2 linked regions of the Drosophila melanogaster genome follow. Each later gene encodes a partner of the first gene's protein in a complex. Each region holds a gene or a part of one and is shown on either strand. Other genes may lie near its edges.

Region 1 (5,435 bases):
TCTGTGTATGTATAAATCGATTCTAAGTAATAATTTGTTTAGGTTGTGTTATCATATGGGTGTTGTAGCTTAAAAGATCCTCCTCCTCCTCCAAAGCTCAGGCCTGTTGCCTAGCCTCGTTGGCCTCGTAGGCCTCCACCTCGGCGATGTTGGCCAGGTCGTACTCGATGACGCCCTTGCCCATGAACTCGGCGTACTTGGCTGACTCCGGCAGCGGATCAGCCGATCTCTTCGAGACTGTAATGGGTCGAGGAATGGGAATGGATCAGTAAGTTGCTGGCACCTGTAAGACATTGCTACTCACCGCCTGAGACGAACTTCTCCATCATGTAGACCTTCATATCGAAGCACTCGTTGGCAATCCGCTCCGAGATGAGCGAGACATCGGTGATGCGGGGCATGACCACACGCATCTGGCGCCGCACGCGCTCCGTATCTATGTTGTAGTAGCCAGTGCTCATCTTCTTTATGAGATCCACAAAGCTGGTCGGGGGCAGGGTCGTGTCCCGATCCAAGGGCATGATGAAGCACCGTCCGGTGGTAGTGTCGATAATGGCCGACTGGTTCTCCTTGAAGTCGTGCATGAAGCGACCACGACGTCCATCCTTGAAGTCGGGCACGTCCACGCGTGCGTAGCCCTCGTCATCGCTGTCACCGTCCAGTTCGATGTCCTCGCGGAAGTGGCTCTCGTCCAGCGATCCACTGTTGGGCATCGGTTGCGCGAGCTCGGGTAGCAAGGAGCGCCAGTTCAGGGCGAACGGTTCCACGGTGCGCGGATATACCCGCGCCATCTCCATCGAGTCCTCCGGATAGGGGATCTCGCACAGGGCGTGGTAGCGCATGCTGCTATGCGACGGAGCGTACACTCGGTACAGGGTCCATCCGCCCAGGACACCCAGGAGCATCACGACTACGGCGATCAGGAACAGCAGAAAGGATTTGATGCAATGGTGCTGCGGCCGGTTGAAGACCATGGATTCCGCGTCGGCTTCATTATCGCTGTAAGCAACCTTGGGCTGTGTGTGGAAAATGGGGGGTTTTAAAAATATGGGATACTCCTCTAAGTGTCACTTGCAATTTTGTAGGAACAACAAATTGCAATGGAAAAGTAGCAGTTTTATATACAATCTAAAGTTATCTAAAATGACCGACTTGTTATATCTGTTTCCTTATCACCCATTGTTCCAGTGGAAAGTCATAAAAACGACGATAAGTCGTAGAAAAATACAAATAGAAGGCAGTTGACTGTAATGTTGATAGTGGAAGTTCCACAAGTCGAAAGGTTTGAGCTTGCTGAATATTAATCACACATTTATATTTTCCGCCAGCTCAGCAAGATAATTTTTCACTGCAATGCCTTCTCTTGTTCTATAAACAATGCAATTGCATTGCTAAGTCAAAATTGTTTCGAAAGATACGTCGTTAGCGAGAGATTAGTCTAAGGAGGGGTCAGAAGAGATCCCCTTGCAAAAAATTAATCAATTGAAGGCATTTGCATGCACTAGAGTGGACCTTATTCGACTATGTAGTGCATAACTCATATGTAAATGTATGATTGTATATAAATCTCTGGAAAATTAGTGATATCTACACTAAATAAATAAACTGCAGATGGGCAAATATGCTGGGAGATGGGAGATGGGAGCTGGCAGCTGGGAATGATTGTGCTTATGACCAGCAAGCTGATAAGACACGACTTTCTCTGGATACCCGTGCACACGAATCGAGGTCAAAGTGCACAGTGTCAGCAGCTCACAAAGGGCTGCAACTGGCACCGTAAGTGGCTTTCCCCAGCCGTCAGGGCCAATCTCCACCAGCAACAGGAAAACCCTTCGCGCTGACCTCGGGGAGCGAGCGAGCGAGTCCTTGGCGCGGAAAGCCCAGGAAAGTGAATGGGCACACGTCACTTGGAGTGGAGCAGGGGTTGCATGCGGGCAGGGGGGTAAGGGGAAGCACGGGCCACAAGGACACCAAGGAGTGCGGAGCTTGGTCGGGGAAAAATCGATGGCGAGCTGCTGCTGCTGAGGCTGTAATTCGGAATGGATTCCGAATCGGAATCAGCACCAACCACCCACCCATCACGAGACTTGTGGCTCTCGGGCCGCAGGACGAAGGACACGGTGGCGGGCAGGGCGCGAGGGATGGACAAGGACATAGCACGATTGCGCAAAAATAAGGACACATCCCGCAGATGCGATGCCAAGCAAAACTCACTGCGATTAGGGAGCCATGGTGCATGAGCGCCTCGTCGTTGAGGTTCATGGGCAGGGGCACCTTCTCCTGGTCCGTGGGCTGTCCCCGCAGTTTTCCCAGAATTGTCATGGCTGCTCGTATGCTGTGTTCTTGATGCCTCCGCACGACCAACTTGTTTGTTTTTACTGAAAATTTAGTGCGCAATTGTTGACGAGCTGAAATCTCGATCCAGACAAGCCAGTGTGACCAGTTCTAATTCGCCTTTCAAAAGATGTGGACAAAAGTGAGGCAACTCTAGAGTGGTTGCAAACTTGGAAAAGACGATTCGCCGCCCAAAAATTCGAAACTTGAATCCGAAAAAAAATTGTGAGGCACAAATTGTTATCTTACAAACGAAAAAACATGATACATTTATATTTTTGGAGAAAACCCAAAACATACAACTAAACTCCCTTCCAAAACGAATTGCTTACTTGTATCTTATGGAAGTTTATTTCGCTGATAACACAATACGTTCTACTGGCAGTTCTAGGGACTTTTTTCAAAAATGCAAATGAGTTTCTTAACATACACTTTAAACACAGAATGATTGAAACGTTCGCCTGCGGAAGTTGGGAACCTACGACCTCTGGACTACACAGCGGACTATGCAGACCGCTTTCGACCTTTATTTCTGCACTCTTACAGTCTAATCATACAGAGCAGAGCGTCCTACTTATGACTATGTTGGTTAGAGAGGAAGGCGAGGTGACCCTTGGGACACTTGTTCGCGTAGTGGCCCTTGTTCCCGCACTTGTAGCAGGTGATCTCCTCCAGGGGCGTGGGCACCTTGACGAAGCCGGGACCATGCGGCTGACTGTGGTGATTGGATTGCATGTCATCGGCACCCTCGATGTGGCCGGAGTGTCCAGAGTAGCCGCCCGAGTGTCCGCCGGAGTGATCCATTGCGTTGATATTGTTGCGATGCTCCAGGCTGCCCACATACTGCTTGCACGAGTTGGCCTTGTGGCCCAGCTCGCCGCAATAGTGGCACGTGGGCAGTTTCTTGTGCAGCTGATCCTTACCCAGTTCCGCCAGCGGGGGCAGCTCGAAGTGCGGATGCATGTGCTTGCAGGACGGGCCCTCGGGGCAGAAGCCGGCTAGGTAGTCCATGCACAGGACACGGCGCAGATGCTGGTGCCGGCAGTGGGGACCGTGGCGGCAGAAGCCTCTCTTGTACCACGGACAATCCTTCACCTTGCTCTGCGGGTCGATGTGCAAAAAGGGACACTCTTTGTTGTGGCAGGCGTTGAACCTCGAGTAGAAGTAGCACTCGGGCATCTTGGTCATGTCGTACTCGTGCAGGAACTCGCACTGGTCGCCCTTCTTGCACAGTCCTCTCAGCCAGTGCTTGCACACGATCGTCCGGTCCCCGCGAATGTGTCGGAAGGGACAGGCGCTCCCTTTGTCGCACTCCTGTCCGTTCCTGGTGATGAAGTTGCAGACCGCCGCAATGGACTTGTCCATGCCGTAGAACGGCAGCGGGATGGCACCCACCTGCTCGATGAGGTCCCGCTCCGCCTTGAACTGCAGCCCACTTACGTTGGCCAAAAGGATGTCCATCTCTGACGGATTCGCGGATGCTCGGATAGATGAGGAAAAACTCCGAAATCTGGTAAACAATGCAGTTTCCTTCTTCTTTTTTTGCGCGTGTTTGTTGTTTCAGTGCGAATAGTGCTGACACGCAACCGGCGTTATCGATATCGATAGTTCGCAAGGCAAGACAGTCATGGCCGTCTAGCTGTTTATTAGCCAAATCTGTCCACTTCAGGGAATAGATATTTGTATATAAATATTTTTAGTCTCCAAATGTTTTTAATTTATAAGATTAGTCATAGTAAGAAAATACTTGTTTTTATGACCTTATTTAACTAAACCGCCATTAATAACATTTTAGCTATTTAGCTACAAAAGTAAGTTGATATTGGTCAGCACTGTTGGCGACTAAAGTATTACATAGAAATTAAGTATCCGCCCCGTTAGTGTTGCTGATAAAAGGGCTTATCTACAATGAACGAGCCAGTTTCAAAAATTTCACTTACACAAGAGCAACACTTGAATTGCTTCGAAATTTAAACATTAAACACTGAGTAAATTCGATAATGAACCACCCCCGCCGCCAGAGGCCGATAGTCAGCTGGTATCGATCACTTGTTTACAACTTTTCGCAATGTTTATAACGTAAGCAATCTGCGTGAAAAGCCATTAGTTAATTTGGGAGCGAGGAACTGAAAAATGAGGAGCGAGCGCCGCTGAAGAACCCAACCCGACCAACACCCCACGTAGTCCACCCACTCCAAAGGTCAAATGCTGCCTACTTACGAGCGCTTCAGTGATCCCAAAAGCGTCCTCTTCCGGCTTCCCTTTGCGCGACTGGCACTGGTGGCTCTTAGTTTGCCCCTGGGAGGCTTCTTCTTCTGCGTGATTTGGTCTCTGACCTTTGACTTCGTTAGGAGCACCTACACCCACTGCGATGTGACCAACTATCTGCCCTCCGTCTCGGCGGCCATTGGGAACTATGAGCCCCAAAAAACCGTCTGGAGACTGGCCATATTTCTGCATTTACCACTCCGTTTGGCAGTTGCCAAAATCTACTTGGAGCACTATCGGGAACACATCCGCCGGAGCAGAAGATTGCTGGGCATCCTGGCCTGCTTCTTGAACGTCGTGGAGGATCTGGCCCTCTTCTGCTTGTCGTTTTGGACCTCTGCGGATCATTACGAGACCCACAGAAACGCATTTGTGGTGTTCATTGCGTGTTCCGAGTGCTATATGCTGGTTTCCTACCTGCTGAACAGGAATATACAGAAGACCGTGCTCTTGCCGCACGAGGAGAAGTCGCTGAGGTACAAGAGAAATCTGTTCTTGGTGAATGTGATCGCCTTTGGCTTGGCAGGATACTGCTTCGTGAGGCACAACTCGCATTGCGAGGCGGGAGGTGAGTGGGAATCGGTTGTGAGTCCACTATTGTCTTATAATGAATCTTTTCTATCCACAGTCTATACTTTCTTCGCGTTGTTCGAGTACATCGTGGTGCTGACCAACATGGGGTTCCACATGACCTCCTACTGGGACTTCTACGCCCTGAATGTGGTGTGTGATGCCAAGCACGGTCTCTACCTATCACAATCGTAGACCAATGAACTAGATCAAACCCAGCCTGCGCCGCCATTTCAGCCAGCCAGTCGTCCTCGAGTATTGTG
Region 2 (8,407 bases), on another chromosome or scaffold:
TCACCTTGCGACAAGAAAAATTACAACACCAGGCGTTGGAGTGCTGCAAAACGTATGCGGGCTGCGGGAACTTACCAGCACTAGCAGTGGTGGTATTTTTGGCTAAGCAGGGCATTTAGCTATTTTCTTGCTAAATACTACGTTTCTAAGTGATGGCAATGGATGAGAATCCCAAAAATTAGACCAATACTGTTAATTATTTTCTCAGGTGTTTAGATAAGAAAATAAAATAAAATGGCTTGCGTATCTGTTATTACACTTTGTTTAATATTTTGCGTCCCATACCGCTTTATTTCCCAAAAAGTATATGAAAAGTATGAATCCCTGGTAAGGGAAATTATTCAAGGAAGAAGAAGAAACAGCAAGCCGGAACGCAGGGAATTTTTTAGACAAGTTTGTCAACGTTTGCTAAGATTTTGTCGAGTTTGTGCAGTAAATAATAACAAACAACAGATATGGCAGATAAGGCGCAGGAACAAAGTATAATGGACAAGTCCATGCGGTCGGTTTTTGTGGGGAACATACCCTACGAGGCCACCGAGGAGAAGCTAAAGGAGATTTTCAGCGAAGTGGGCCCGGTCTTGTCACTGAAGTGAGTTCCCTACTTAGAGCCATGCAATATCTCACTGTAAACCTCCTATTCTCAATCCCCCAGACTGGTCTTTGATCGGGAAAGTGGCAAACCCAAGGGCTTTGGCTTCTGCGAGTACAAGGACCAGGAGACGGCTTTAAGTGCCATGCGGAATCTGAATGGCTATGAGATCGGCGGCAGAACACTGCGAGTGGACAACGCGTGTACGGAGAAGTCGCGCATGGAGATGCAGCAGCTGCTTCAGGGACCCCAGGTGGAGAATCCCTATGGCGAGCCCTGCGAACCAGAGGATGCTCCCGAGCTCATCACCAAAACGGTGGCTTCCTTGCCGCCGGAGCAAATGTACGAGCTGATGAAGCAGATGAAGCTCTGCATCGTGAGCAATCCATCGGAGGCACGCCAGATGCTAATGCTCAATCCTCAGTTGGCGTACGCTTTGCTCCAGGCCATGGTGGTTATGAGGATCGTGGACCCTCAGCAGGCGCTCGGGATGCTCTTCAAGGCCAACCAAATGCCCCCCGTCTTGGGCGGCAATCCGCACCAGGGGCCGGGGAATCACACCATGATGGGTCAGCAACAGGTTCCGCAACAGCAGGTGCAGATCCCGCAGCAACAGCAACAGGCTCCCCAGCCACCAATGCCCGTTCCCGGACCTGGCTTCCCGGCCAATGTCCATCCGAACGATATCGATTTGCGCATGGTGCCGGGTGGACCCATGCCGATGGATCCCAGGATGATGGGCCGTGGCATGGACCAGGATTTGCGAGCTTCTCTACCCAATCCAGTGCCACCGCCGCTGATGGATCCCCGAGCTCGTGCCCAGATGCCCCCACAGCAGCAGCAGGGCGTTCCGCAGGCGCCACCGGCCCCCTATCCCAGCGATCCGCGCCAGCGTCCCATGGATCCCAGGTTAAGGGCAGGACCTGGTCCTCAGCAGCAGGCGCCGCCACAAGGAATCCCCCAAGCGCCGCCACCGACACAACAACAGCAGGCGGCCGCTCAGCAGTTGCAGAGCAGACTAGGCGCCCATGGAGTCCTGCCCTCGGATGCCTCCGACCAGGAGAAGGCTGCCCTCATCATGCAGGTACTGCAGCTGTCCGACGAACAGATTGCGCAGCTGCCCTCCGAGCAACGGGTCAGTATTGTCATGCTCAAAGAGCAGATTGCGAAGAGTACCCAGCGCTGAAACTACTCTGGCTGAAACAAATGAAAAATCACCATTTCGCTCATGCATACTATAGTACTTTCAACATTGAATCAATTAATAAAAAGAACATTTCAACACAAGGAGATTTATTAAGCGGAATAGAATGGTTTTCAAAGAGCGGAGACTAGGGTCTGGTGTAACTTCTGAACCGTCGTATTGAGCATTTGTCGCAGCACATCATCCTCGGCACAGCTGATGGCCTGGAAAGATTGTAGATTAACGATATTTTTCGATTTTAAAAAGCACCTTCGACGAACACTCACCAGGGTTTCCAGATTTATTTCCGCACGTTTACCGCTCACCGTCACTGGCAGCAGATCGCCCTCGAACATTTTTGGCACGCAGTTGTCGCCGAAGGTGTCCTGTAGCGTCTCGATTAGGCACTCCCGAAAGCGCGAGTCCTCTGACTTGGTTTGCTTTGTGGCACCCTTCAGATTTGTTCCGCCCAACTCCGATTGCATGATGCAGGCAAGAACGGCATCGGCGTACACATCATTCACATGCGTCGCTTGCCACTCCATCACAATGATTTTCTGCTCCACAGTTAGCTCGATGCAGCCGAACACGCGCAGCTTTCGCTCCGCCTCCAGCACCTCAACGCATCCGGCTCCAATGCGATCCAGCAGTAGCTCTAGAGTGCTCAGCGAGCTGCCCCAGGGAATCGACTGGCGTTGGGTTACAACAGACATGCTCATATCCGTGTATTCTGTGGGAATTATTTAAATGAATCGACATTTTTACAAAGAAACTAACTAACTATTACTTACTGCCCAGATCAGAAGGAGCCAAGAGGTGGTACTTAAAGTCGCGCTTAACCAGAACACCTGAGAGTTTGCTTCCCACCTCCGAGTTCTTGGCTGCGAGGCTTCCCATCACCTTGGCGGTTTTCTCGCCACGGAAATAAAGATCCACGGCATGTGTGTTTCGCGGGTTGTAGAATTTTATATCCGTGCTTGCATCTGCTTCGTATTCCCGCTGCAGGGCCAACTTCAGACGCGACATCTCGTTCTGCTCGCCGTGGACGAGCACGACATGCGTTGGCTTTAGTAGGCGGATGAATTCACTGGTCTGCTGGTAGTCCGTGTGAGCCGAAAACGATATGTAGTCGACGGACATGTTGAGCGGCAGCTTCTGGCCCGACAGTGTGGTGATCTCCTCCGGCTCGGAGAGAACGGCTTTGGCCAAAGTGCCCTCCACGCAGTAACCGGCTATAATCACTCCGTTCTTGGGATCTGTGCACCAGCTCTCGAAGAGCTCTCGCGACAATCCCGACTGCATCATACCCGGCGACGCCATGATTACGCAGGGTCCGATATCCTCGAAGTGATCGATACCCTTCAGGTTGGAAATGTGGCGGAAAACGAAGGGATTGTTCACAGCTATCTGTCGTCGAATTCGATCGTTCATAGCATTGATGTACGTCTGGTAGACAGCCATGCACTTCTTGGCCAAAGAGGAGGCATAGTAGATGGGAATCTCGTGCAGATCCGGGTTCTGCGACCAGAATTCATCCAGAATAAGTAGCAGTTCTTGGGCACGGCCCAAAGCAAATACTGGAATTAAGCATCTCCCGCCTTGCTGAACAATTTTCTGCACCAGCGAGGTAAATCGATTCTCTCGATCCTCTCTTTTCTCGTGAATGTGAGTGCCGTAGGTGGACTCTGTGATAAGAACATCCGGCTTCATCGGTGGCACTTCGGCAGCCATCAAATGTCGATCCTCCTGGCGCGAAAAGTCACCAGTATACAAGATCTTGATGCCAGCAATCTCGATCATGAACATGGCGGCACCCAAAACATGACCAGCAATATAGGCACAAAAGCGTACGCCCATCACATCGCGCTCCTCGTGGAAATTGATCGTCTCGATCTTCTCCATGGAGGCCTCCAGATCGGCTTCCGTGTATAGCATCTGTTCGGTGGATATGTTACTGATCTTGATGTAATCGGACAGCATCCATCGGTAAATGGCTTTCGTGGCATGGGTCATAAAGCAGCGGCCTTTAAAGCTGGTCTTCATGAGAAACCAAGGCAAGGCACCGCAGTGATCCAAGTGGAAACTGATAAATATAAGCATTCACCATTAAAAGTTCAATGCCCATTTAATCGCCGCAGTACTTACTGTGATATAAACAGCAGATCAATCTCATCCGCCTCTATTAGATCTACGTAGGGCAGGGCATCCATGCCGGACAATCCCGGATGGATTCCGCAGTCCAGCATTATCTTCTTGCCCTTAAATTCCAACATGATGCAGGAGCGTCCCACTTCCTGGCCAGCACCACTGAAATATAAGCGTTACCCTTGAGCTTCTATCTGGTTTAAATCAAGATTCCTTACAGTGGCTTGATCTGCAGCAGGTCGCTTTCCTCGTCTGGCATGCGTGCATCACCTGTTGCCTGCGTCATGATGTCTAAAATAATGTAATCAATAACAAACTTTTTTACAAATCGCCGGCAACAAAACGCTGTGCACGGCAGTGTGACCAAAGTTTGATGACTGCCGGTATGGACCTGTTCACACAAGGGCTGGAAAAGAACATTGTACTTTTTCCTTTTACATTAACATTAAGTTATTAGGACAATTTAATTTTCTCGTAAACATTTGTTCATTAAGTAGGGCCTAGATTAAATCTGGCTATTAATCTTTCCCGATACTCTCAACTCATTCCACTTGGGCCCCGCCTGACCTGGTCACACCGATTGCCACACGAAAGTCGAACAAATAAAGGAAAACTATTTTTGACAAATGGGAGGATCCAGCTACGATGGTGAGCAGTGGGACTTAATGGTTACCTTCCATATAAGCTATCTCTCCTCTCGACCTCCCGCACAGTGCTCAGGAAGCAGGCGCGGAGCCTGGAAAACGAGATCGACCTGAAGCTGGTGGCATTCAGCAAAATCGGAGCTGGCAGTGGAGGAGGTGGAAGTGGAGGACTAGGAGGCGTTGACACATCGCCGCTCCTGGGCGAGCACGTCTTCGATTCGCTGTCGGAGGAGATCGAGCAAATGCTGGAGAAGGTGCGATATGTGACCCAATGCCATGCGATGGTGCAGGGATTAAACCCGAAACAATGTAGTGCGGATTCCTTATTTATTTATTAAGCAAATTTCTGTGCCACCGGCTTTGTGCTACTATGAATTACTAATTTCCCACTAAGCCTTCCCAAAAATCATAATTTAATTGGCAGAATTGAGCACACAATTGAAAAACTGCCACGATTAACTTATATATATTGAAAACATTCCATCACTTTCCAATTTTTTATGAATCTGTATATATATTATACTTTATTATTCGAGTTTTTTTTATGCTCTGATCTTTGCTAAATTCTTTAAAAGAAAATGTTTAAGAATTCCTCTTTGAATTCGCTAAATGAATTCCATTTGATAAATACTTTAATAGATAATTCCAAGTAATGAATGAGTCACCGACTGAAGCACAAAATGTTCAAATTGTTTTGCTTGTTAAGTTATCTACGTTTTTTAGGCAATTCCCATATCTATAGAATTTCTATAGAATAGAAGGATTTCATTTCTATTTCATCCTTCTTAATTGCAGCTATCCTCGCTAAATGAGTCCATGTCCGATTTGCCCGCCTCTGGAGCAGCCGCCATGCACACACTGCAGAGGCATCGAGAGATCCTGCAGGGGTATCGCCAGGAGTTCAATAAGATCTGCGCCAATCACACAATGCGAATCGAGCGAGAGGAGCTGCTTCGTGGCTCAGGGTTGGCCACCAGCTCCGGCAGTCCATCCATCTCGGGCCTAAACCGGCGAGAAATGTACCTGAAGGAGAGCGGGCACCTCAACAGCGCCAGTCACTTGGTCAACGATCAGATAAATATCGCGATTGAGACGCGTGACCATCTTCACGCCCAGCGACAAGCATTCAAGCGGCTGCAGACCCGCTTTAACGATATCTCCAATCGATTCCCACTGATTTCCAGGTGAGACAGACGAGTTCTCAATTCAATTTATGCATATTTACTTATCCAATTATTTGTTGTATATGCACAGTCTCATTCAGCGCATCAACATTAAAAAGCGACGCGATTCGCTGATCCTGGGAGCAGTTATTGGCTTCTGTGTGATCTTGCTGCTGCTCTACGCCTTCAACTAGTGACCCGCCACCGCGATTTGGCCAAAGATAGAGCTTGCATTAAACTCCATTACAGACAATTGAATTTTAGTTTGTTTTTTCCGACGGTATATGTGTATGATTAACTTGTGATAGCAATAAAATGTACTATATAAGACAAAACCCAACAGCCATTGATTCTAATCTCAAGCAGCAGTTAATAATTTTAGGCAAACAGCAAACATAACAACTTATGTATATACCAAAAAGAAACCCAAAACATTTAAAACATTTACGTTATTGAAACGACTTCAATTGCACAGAGATGGCTGAAAATGCACCAGAAGAGGCTGCCCCCATAGACAATGCCGAGGAGATTCCACCCGCGGAGATTCCAGCCGCGGAGGATGCTCCCAAACTAGTAACGATCGCGGAAGCGGCGGAGGGTGCAGAAATCCAAGGTGAGACAGCTAACGTAGATCAAATAGAAGGAGAAGGCGAAACGGTGTTGCCAGCCGAGGATGACGAAGCCTCAAAGGAAGGGGAGGAGTCTGGAGCTAAACACAAGGGTCTTGCTACCGCCGACGAACGAAAGCGCGAAAAGCTCCAGAGAATTAAGGAAAGGCTTGCCAAAAAAGACGAGGAAGAGGCTGCGAAGGCTGCGTTGGCTAAAGCTCCAATAGAATCTGAGGAGATGCCGGAAGACGAGGACAAGGAGGAACTTCATTCCGTGGAATCGGGCGGAGAGGATTCCGAAGATGACTTCGAAGATATAAAGGCCATCCTTAACGAAAAGCCCCCAAGCGTTGTCGTCGAAGAGGAAATCGAAGAGGATCTCGATTCGGAAGGCAGCTTTGATGAGCCCTTGCCCAGGCTGGGAGTGTCCATAAAGAGTGAGTTTATCCGCGGATTTGAAAGTTTGCCAAGCATATCGGATATATCACTCGATCCGGAGCCGGAACCAGAACCTGAACCGGAGTTAAGCGCTCAGGACAAATCCGACACCAAGGCGGACACAGATGATGGTGTATTTCACAAGGATGGCACAGATGCCGGCGAGGGCGAGTCGGGGAGCTCTTCGGGTTCCGATAAGGATGCTAGCACTGCTATAAATGCGGCGGCTGAGTCGGAAGAGGACGACGATTCCATTTTGATGGATGATCTGCCGGATGAGCAAGAGCCGACAGAAAAACAGGTCGTCATTGGGGAGGAAGTGGACACCATGGCCATGTTCACCGAGGCCGTCGATGCGGAGATGGAGACCCACCAGGAGTTGCACGTCCCCGTCGAAGAGCCCTTCTGGTATCGCCTCACTGTCGACTTCCTGAACAATCTTATCAATACCGTGGTGGAAAATGCGGAGAACGCCGAGAAGAACAAGGAGAACCTGTTGGACAAGCGCAAGATGTTGCTGGAGCTGCAGCGTCTGGTAGACGACTACACCTTCGAGAAGTACCAAAACACCCTCCTCAACAATGTCGTCTGTGACTACTTCCGTCGCAATCGCAAGTTCAACAACTTTCAGCCACTGCCACCGGAAGATGCTGCTGGCGAGTTTATTCGCTACATGAATGCCCTCAACTCGGTGGACAATCTGATGGAGCGGGTAAAGCTGATCAAGATCAAGAACGGACACAGTGCGTCGCGCGCCATGCTGGAGCTTAACTCGTATTCTGTTCTCGCCTTCAACGAAGAGCAGCGTCTGGAGGGATTCATGCGCAAGACCCTCATCCGCAAGGACATGGATCGCTTGAGGCGCGCCCTGGACAACGATCTTAGGCGCATGCAGGATCTTCGCAACCAGATCAGCGAGAAGCGCTACGAGCTCAACTTGAACCTTCACAACCTGGCATTTGTGGATGAGGTAAGGACGAATGATGCTAGGAACTTACAATCTTGTTGGAAAAATACGAGTATATTCTTCTCTCGCAGAAAGTGATGAAATTCGAGCGTGTTACCGAGACGCTGACCATTTCGCAAATGCTGTGCGCCAACGAATCCATAATACAGTTGAGCAAGCAACTAGAGGGTAAATTGATGAACTCTAGAACTTTAAGTTAATCGTTAAACTCACCTGCGTATAAATTGTATAGAAAAGTGCAAGGATGTTGCGGTCATGCAGTCGAACTACAAGAAGTCCATGATAGAGGAGACGTGCGTGCGTGAGAAGCGGGACATGATCTCCTACATGCTCTCCAAGGCGAGGGCCGAGTATATAGATCGATTCGAGCGGCGAAACAAGCTGCGCAAGGATCTGACCAGGCTGCAGCTGGAGCACGCCGACCTCAAGACCAAGCGGGACAAGCTGGAGACCAAGGGCGGACTGCTGTTCAAGCCGGGCCTGATGTACGACTACGATAAGTGCATGGCCGATATACAGGCCCGCCGTAGTCACATCCAGGCCATGAAGAAGACCTGCAACGAGTTGGGTAAACGCATTCGCGCCTGCGAAGACTCCAAGTACCAGTCCAGTTTTTCGATACGGTATCTTAGTTAATTAGGATGCATTTCTAATTTTCTAAGGATTT

The links. The genes of interacting proteins can lie anywhere in the genome.
Region 2: Clp (region 1) and Cpsf73 share a complex: the UniProt entries of both Drosophila melanogaster proteins name them as parts of the cleavage and polyadenylation specificity factor (CPSF) complex.

What each region holds. Positions count from the first base shown.
Region 1 is NT_033779.5:818,439-823,873, reverse strand, and holds Clp (clipper), read right to left. Parts: upstream 3,911-5,435; 5' UTR 3,796-3,910; coding exon 2,905-3,795; 3' UTR 2,665-2,904; downstream 1-2,664. Other genes in the region: CG3662 (uncharacterized protein), read right to left, coding at 98-237, 305-1,016, 2,215-2,322; PGAP2 (Post-GPI attachment to proteins 2), read left to right, coding at 4,540-5,170, 5,231-5,367. UniProt on the Drosophila melanogaster protein: Component of the cleavage and polyadenylation specificity factor (CPSF) complex that plays a key role in pre-mRNA 3'-end formation, recognizing the AAUAAA signal sequence and interacting with poly(A) polymerase and other factors to bring about cleavage and poly(A) addition.
Region 2 is NT_033777.3:18,659,250-18,667,656, forward strand, and holds Cpsf73 (cleavage and polyadenylation specificity factor 73), read right to left. Parts: upstream 4,304-8,407; 5' UTR 4,207-4,303; coding exon 4,139-4,206; intron 4,083-4,138; coding exon 3,921-4,082; intron 3,859-3,920; coding exon 2,567-3,858; intron 2,506-2,566; coding exon 2,063-2,505; intron 2,000-2,062; coding exon 1,910-1,999; 3' UTR 1,872-1,909; downstream 1-1,871. Other genes in the region: CstF64 (cleavage stimulation factor 64 kD subunit), read left to right, coding at 456-592, 656-1,778; Gos28 (golgi SNARE, 28 kDa), read left to right, coding at 4,547-4,568, 4,634-4,818, 5,360-5,748, 5,819-5,921; CG31231 (uncharacterized protein), read left to right, coding at 6,205-7,743, 7,812-7,908, 7,973-8,376. UniProt on the Drosophila melanogaster protein: Component of the cleavage and polyadenylation specificity factor (CPSF) complex that plays a key role in pre-mRNA 3'-end formation, recognizing the AAUAAA signal sequence and interacting with poly(A) polymerase and other factors to bring about cleavage and poly(A) addition.